2 linked regions of the Ovis aries genome follow. The protein of the gene in region 2 binds, or shares a complex with, the protein of the main gene of each other region. Links are inferred from orthologs where the notes say so. Each region holds a gene or a part of one and is shown on either strand. Other genes may lie near its edges.

What was found. The genes of interacting proteins can lie anywhere in the genome.
Region 1: GTF2E2 (region 2) and POLR2H share a complex: the UniProt entries of both Homo sapiens proteins name them as parts of the TBP-based Pol II pre-initiation complex. The link is inferred for Ovis aries from reciprocal best matches to the Homo sapiens genes GTF2E2 and POLR2H.

What each region holds. Positions count from the first base shown.
Region 1 is NC_056054.1:203,612,764-203,616,509, forward strand, and holds the start of POLR2H (DNA-directed RNA polymerases I, II, and III subunit RPABC3), read right to left. Parts: upstream 2,207-3,746; 5' UTR 2,073-2,206; coding exon 2,000-2,072; intron 1,041-1,999; coding exon 957-1,040; intron 877-956; coding exon 783-876; intron 241-782; coding exon 157-240; intron 1-156. UniProt on the Homo sapiens protein: DNA-dependent RNA polymerase catalyzes the transcription of DNA into RNA using the four ribonucleoside triphosphates as substrates.
Region 2 is NC_056079.1:25,926,822-25,930,567, forward strand, and holds the start of GTF2E2 (transcription initiation factor IIE subunit beta), read right to left. Parts: upstream 2,621-3,746; 5' UTR 2,390-2,620; intron 1-2,389. UniProt on the Homo sapiens protein: Recruits TFIIH to the initiation complex and stimulates the RNA polymerase II C-terminal domain kinase and DNA-dependent ATPase activities of TFIIH. Both TFIIH and TFIIE are required for promoter clearance by RNA polymerase.

The sequences.
Region 1 (3,746 bases), on a different chromosome or scaffold from region 2:
CTGTTCCCAAAACAGTTCCTTTCTGGGTCCCGCTAGGTCTGAGGTGCTTGAAGAAAGAAATCCAGGGAGCCTGAGGATGGTCCAGATTTTCAAAGCATAGCCCAAATTCTCACAAAATGAGAAGGGAAAGGGCTCTCACAAGACCAAGGAACTTACAGGCGTGTTGCTGCTTCAGTAGAAGTTTCGTCTCCCTCAATCCTGTACACTTTCCCATACATGACATACTCAAATTGGTCAGCCCTGTGGAACAATAGGGGCAGTTATTCTTAAATACAGTTAACAAAAGTAAGAGGCCCTTTAAAAAAATGGTAACTGGTAACTATACGCCAGCATCATAACACCAGGCACTTTCTAAACGTGATGTCATTCAATCCTCACAGCAACCCTGTGAGCTAGGTATGACCATCAATGTTATTGATGAGAAAAAACTAAGGTTGAAGGAGGTTAAGGTTATCCAACAAATAAGTGGTAGAGCTGAGATGTGAACTGAGTGGGCGTCCAAAGCCTTTCCATCACACCAAACTCCCTCCCAAGACACAAGGCCCACAGAGCCTAGGTCATTCAGTGCTCATTTCCTCCACTATCAAAAAGTGACAACTCACACTGTAATCACTGCTTTGGATAAACACCTGGATGTCTGGATTCTTAAGTGCTGCACTTTTCTTAAGCTAACAGAGTCTGCTGATAATCATTTATTTCATGAATTAAGTAAGGGTTTTTCTATACACCTATCCACTTAGTCCTCAGGCACATTTCAGGTGCTCCCTTTTCCATCCCCTCACCTGGAAGGCCTATCATCTGTGGGGTTGTATTCACCATCATCCAGAGTACCATCTTCATATAAGGTACTGGCTATGACCAACCGGAACTTGTCACCTGAAAACAACAGCGGTAGCAGAGGGTGGAGACCAGCTGAGATGGCATAAAGCCTCCTGCTGTTTGTGTTCAATACTTACCCAAGTCTACCGGGTAAATCTGAATGTTTACATCAAGGATGAGGTCCATCTTGAAAGATTCACTCTCACAATGCAGCCGAGACACTGGAGGGGAAGAGTGGCAGAAGTTAACTGCCTGTGGCCCAGGGCAGACCCTACAGGGCAGGGCAGACAGGTACTTCAGGGGCCTGGATGCAACAGAATACTCAGTCTAATGCAGTCTGTATCCACTGGCCTCTCATCTGCTCTCACAGAAGTACAGGCTCAATCAGAATCACACATGCAGGAAGGAAAGGGGAGACAACCTGTGGCCAGTGGACAGAATCCACAGAAAAGAATCAAAGATCCTCTGGCAATAAATAATATCCAGGTTCTAGGCCAACCTAAGTGATTAAGAAATAACCTGATTTGGGGCAAGGTATTCATTCATCCTAAGGTTTCCTCTTCCTGTGTCAGGTGCTGTGCTAAGGGGATTGATTATCAAGATGTGTAAGAACTGGTGTTTGTCCCGAAGAACTTATCAGTGTCCAGGCAAAGGAAGAGACACCCAGGACAATTATTGATAAATGACAGAATAAAGAGGTGTATACCAAGCAGTCTACTCTTAAACTCTGAGAAGATTTTACAAACAGCTAAAGACTCTGAGGAACGGGTTGTGAAGTCGGATTATTCACTGTACAACCTTGGGTGGGCTGCTTAGCCTCTCAGAGCAAAATGGGTAAGACACCGCCTACTCCTGGAAGAAAATAAGTGAGACAAAGCGCGTGCGAAGTGTTAAGTACAGCGCCCGGTCCAGAGCGGGGAGCGATTATAAAAGATGCCTGGAGTCCACCAGCACCAGCAGAAAAGGCCACCCAGGCAGCGAGCACAGCTTGTGTGAAACCAGGGAGAGCTCGGGAGTCTCCGTTTTCTTATCTATAAAATTATTTCTCGAGAGAGGTCCCCACACCAGGACCCACCGGTAGGGAAAGGCCACGCGAAAGTGGGTGGACAAGCAGCCTGGGGGCGGGTACCAGAGGAGATTAGCCCCTTCCCCCGAAACCGCCCCTCCAAACCTTGCTTACCTCGGTCAAACTTTTTGCCTTCCGGGTCAATGTCTTTTACATCAAAAATATCCTCAAAAAGGATGCCCGCCATGGTGAGGGGGCCACGAGAGTAGCAGAGGGACTGGGCGCGCTGACCACGACGACTAGGGGTAGCGCACCCCCTCGCGTGGAGGAAAAGAGGCGCGCTAAGACGACGCAGCGCTGAAACGGCAGCGGCAAAGGAATACAATAACGCATGCGCATAGAAGAACTGTACCGCAGCCACTTCCGCTGCCTAGCTCTCGGGGCTTCTTAACTTCCGCCCCGAACGATTGTTTCCCAGAGGTTTCAGAATTGAGGGCTGGTTTCGGGTCCAGAAAACCCCGCCCCCGGCGGCGACACGATGGGTCCCACCTCCGACAGAGGTGGCGTCGCGTCCGGCTCTCTCCCGAGGCTCTACTGCGCCCTCTTCAGAAGCCGGGTCTGGAAGACTGGAATGCTCAAGCGGCCTGCCCCAGCCAGGGACCTTGATCCTTGGCCCAGAGAAGCCCGGCCCGAGCCTTACTGTGCCGGTCTGCGTGCCCGCCGAGGGCAAGTCCGCACAGAGAGTGAGGGGAGCAGCACCCCGCCCCCAGGGCGCTGGCCCGACTGGGCGCAAAACCCAGCCCTTCCTGCTGGCACCCAGGCCGGCCCGGGCCGGCTCGTCCCAGCTGGATGTCACCTGAGCCGGGTCCCTCCAGTTTGGGAATTTGCCATGATGTCACCATGGGGAAGAGGAAAGCCTGCACCGTCCCCTTTCCTGCTCTCTTCTCTCACACCACCCCTTCAGCAGGGCATTAACCCCAAACCCACTGCCCTCCTCGAGCCCTGCCCCTTAAGCTCTGTTCTTCCCTTTCCGCTACCACGGTCCTCTCCTTCTAGACAAGCTCTCCTACGGGCTTCTTCATCCTGGCACTACCCTATCCTACAGATGCCACCTCTTTCTTTACATTGCCCCTTCCTCTAGGGTGCCAGCTCTCACTTCGGCCCCCTCCTGGGCACTGCTCCCTTACCCGGGAGCCCCCTGCGACCTCCCGCGCGCCCCTTCACCCCGGCGCTGCCTCCTCCTGCACACTGCCTGTTTCCTGGGCACTGGCCTCTCCTGACACTCTCCCTGACGCTGCTCATACACTAGTGCTCACCCCCTCTGCTCTGTCCTCCGGACCCTCATACAGAACACAAAGCCCCAGCAGGCCGTGTTCCCCCATGGCTGCTAGACGTCAGCACCTACTCCGGTTTCTCTTTGGGCCCTGCCAGGGAGAAGCGACCTCTGTCCCCACCACGCCCGCCTCCCAGGCACCTAGACCTCCCTTCCCTCTGGCCTCACCCATTCCCGTTCCCTCCCCATCTCCACCCCAACCCCCCGCACTAGCCGAAGGCCAGGTGGCTCAAAGTGCACCTCCCTGGGGGTGCTCCTGGGGGACCCGCAAAGAAGGGAAGGAGAAAGGAAGGGGATGAGAGAGACCGAGGGTCCTAATTCCAAGCAACCTCCGTTTCTGGGCCTAGCGACCCCCTCCGAGTTCTCCCCTAGCTTTGTTTTTCACCCCCCAGCAGAGCACAGGGACCTTTCCTGGCCAGTCAGCCGTTGGCCCCTCCGGTGAAGCAAGAGAGGGGACCGCCGCTGAGGGATTGGGCCCGAATCTGATTTAGACGGCTCGGCAGCCCCCGCCCCAGGCCCTACCGAGCCCCGGCCTGTCCAGCCCCTCCCGACCCGGCGCGCAGAGCCGCAGCCGCGGTCCGGCCCCTC
Region 2 (3,746 bases):
GTATTTTGTAAATGACTAACAAACAGAAGAACATCTTTAAATTGCCCTAGCCTCTCTGTTAATAAGTTTTACAAGCCTTTATTAAATGTCTTCTGTTTGCGGGGCACTGTACCGCACTGCAGCCTTTGGAAAGTTTTGGAAGATAAATCCTTGCCTGCATGTAAGCAGCTTACATTTGAGAATGTGAAAGCACTCAACAACTTGCTTAAAAAGCAATGAATAAATAAAACGTGACTTAGCACGCTAAAAGTTAAAAATGTAAGCACTGAATATCACTCAGTCATGAAAAAGAATGAAATAGTCTATATGCACAATATGGATGGACCTAGAGATTATCACACTAAGTCTGAAAGAGACAAATAGCATATGATTTCATTACTTGTGGAATCTAAAACATGACATAAAGGAACACATCTACAAAACAAAAACAGACTCACAATTGTAGAGAACAAGCTTGTGGTTGTCAAGCAAGATGGGGAGGAGAGAAGAGAAGGGTTGGGAGCTTGGGATTAGCCAATGCAAACTATTATACAGAATGGATAAACAGGTCCTACTGTACAATACAGGGAACTATGTCCAATATCCTGTGATAAACCATAATGGAAAAGAATATGACAAAGAGTATATGTTTAACTAAGCCACTCTGCTATACAGCAGAAATTAGAAACACTGTAAATTAACTATACTTCAATAAAATTTTATAAAAGCACTGATAAGAAATAAACTTGTCAAACTTTAGTTCAGGAAAGAAGAATCACTGACCCTGGACCTCGAATCTAAGACCTCCCTAAATTCTGACCCCTAACAGTAATATGACCTAGGGAATCCACTAGACTTCTCTAAATCCAATTTCATCATAAGTAAAATGAGGATACTACCAATGCTGTCTACATCTAGCCCAACTGTAAGAATAAAATGAGAACATGTTTGTGAAAGTGATTTTTTAAGTAGTAAAGCTAGACCAACGTGTTATTTCAGAACTATTATTTGGATCTGAAAAGAAATAACCCAGTGTTATACTCAGGTGAGGAAGGCAGAAGACAGTCTTGGGGGAGGGAAAGTGTATTAGAACAAGAAAGGAGAATTCCCCAATGATGTGGTGGGGGAAGGGGGGGGGAACAAGCCTAAAACAACAAACATCTGCTGATTTCACTTTGTAAAGACAGATTATTAACCCAGGCTTTTATAATCACGATTTTAACATAGATAAAATCTATGTTGTTTATTATGTAATTTATTATTAACATAATAAAAGCCTTACAAAGACCTGGATGTTAACAGCATTTGATCCTCACAACTCTATGAGGTATCAGGTATGTATCCTATCACACAGAGTTAAGATCACACAGCTGAAAGTACACAGCCTGGACGCCAGGAGATTGATTCCTAAACCAGGTGCTCCTTATTCCAGACCTAAAACTGGTAAAAGCCTCCAAAACAAAAGCGACCTGCGTGGTATGGGTGAAGTTCAATGGTCCCTAGAACAGAAGGTTTAATGTCTTTCACCATCACATGCTCTAACTTTTCCACCTTTTTCTCATGAGACTACTCCGCATCTGTAGAGTTTCATATGTCCTGTGTAGTAAACAGGACACATCAACTTCCCCGTTTTACATTAAAACACACATCACTGCCACAACTCAGTGAGTTCACGTGTTCCCTCACTGAGAAGCCAAAAGTTCAGTGAAAATCTTTTAACTGCAAAGCCCACATTCCTCCCATATTATCATTTGACTTTATCATTTATCCAGTTTATCATTTGATTTCTTTCAACCTTTCAACTCTTTCTCTCTTGCTTCATTTGCCTGCCTGAGCCTCGCAGGGGCCAATAGTGCTTTGAATAGCCGGCAAGCTGAGAATAAGAGACTGCTTAACCCTGAAAAGACAGCAATGTAGAAGTGGAAGTGAAAAAAGTACCGCAGCGACTTGTTTTGGAAAATGTCTTTAGACTCTGCAGAAAACTATTATAACTCAAGGTTAGGAATCATTCCAAACTAGGTTTCCAAGAGGAAGCTGGAAAAAAAAAAAAAAATCCGTGAAGGAGCGCCTAAATCACAGCCTTTACTTGGCTGGGCGCCGCGGTTCCTCAAACTCCACACACCTGGTCCGTGCGGCTACAGCTAATGTAAGTTTGGGGGCTCAGGAAAGGCACGACCAGCGCTCCAATTCGAATTTCCCCTCTTTCCAACCCAAAACTTTGCTCACTGAACCTCCGGCCTCAGAAACAATGCTCCCGAGAGGCTGTAACCGGGTTAAGCGTTTCGGGCAGGGAACCGCAGCCCCAGCTTCCCGCGGGATGGGAGGCCGCGTGCCCCCGGGAATGGGAGGAGGCCCCGAAGAACAACAGGCTGGGGCTCCGCGCCCCAAACCCGGCGTCCGCAGCTCCTACCTGAGCCAGGAGGGCCGCCCCACGCGCCCCGCCGCCGCCTCCCAGAGCCTCCGCCTGGACCAGCCGCCCACGCCCGCGTGGCTGCCGCTTCGGGCTCGTTGTCAGCGCCTCCGCCGCCCGGCACGCATGCCCAGCGCTGCCCCGCCAGCTCGGGGGTCTTCGCACTGGCGGCTGCTGCTGAAGCGGCGGCTGAGGCGGCGACTCTTCCCCCGGCTCCGCCCGCCACTTCCTGATCGGGTGGCCGGGAGCTCAGTCCCGGTAGGCACCGCGGCGCCTCGGCCGCCAAGAACGCGCATGCGTCATCCCGTGCTCCGCCCAGGTATCGCGGGAGGGAAATCTACCAACTTGGGCGTCCCGATCTCCATGACAACGGAAGGACGATTGGGGGCGGGACGTAATTAGGAGTTGAGTCAGTTCAGTTCAGTCCCTCAGCCGTATCCGACTCTGCGCGACCCCATGGACTGCAGCACGCCAGGCCTCCCTGTCCATCACCAACTCCTGGAGTTGAGTAGCCGCAGCTAAAATGGTGCGACTTTAAATGCTATTCACCATCACCTAAAATTCGGAGAACATTGTTCCAGCTCTCTCCCTACACAACTGAAACAGGAGACGCAGTGAAACTAAATAAATGACTGGCTCGAGACAGCACCGCCAGCAATGGCAAATTCTGAAGCAAAGTCCGGTTTCTGAACTCCGAACCCCCATCCCTGTAAACTCTCTTAGAAAAGGATTTGGGATTCAGCAGCAGCGTAAAGGGGTAAAAATAAAAATAAAGCGGCGAAAAAGACAACTGCCCTTGTCCACAGCCTGCAATGTATTGGACCATGCCAAATTGTGGCGCTGGCCTTGCCTCACTCCTGCAGCCTGAAGCGACCGCATGGCCAGTGCTCTACTATTTTATTGCTGTCCTTTACTTAATGCTGGTTACTCAAGTTACTTGTGTTTTGGTTTTCACATCTGGGAAATGGGAATAATAATTGAACTACCACAATGGGTTACTTTCATTGGATTGTTGTGAAGACTGAATGAGATAATACATAAAATTTTTAATCAAAACTTGGGAATAAAGCCAAAAGATGGTTGTGTGGGTATTTTTTTACGTTTTTATTTTATTTATTTTGGCTATGCTGAGGCCTAATTGTGACAGGCAGGCTCCTGCTCTAGTTGTGGTGCAAGGGGTTAGTTGCCCAGCAGCCTGTGGGATCTTAGTTCCCCTACCAGGGATGGAACCCACGGCCCCCTCATTGGAAGGCAACCAGGGAAGTCCCTGTATGGCTTTTTAAAATTGATTTCATTCTATAGGATTTTGTAATAAACACACTTGATATTCATTTGACACCCTCGGGAAACATAACTT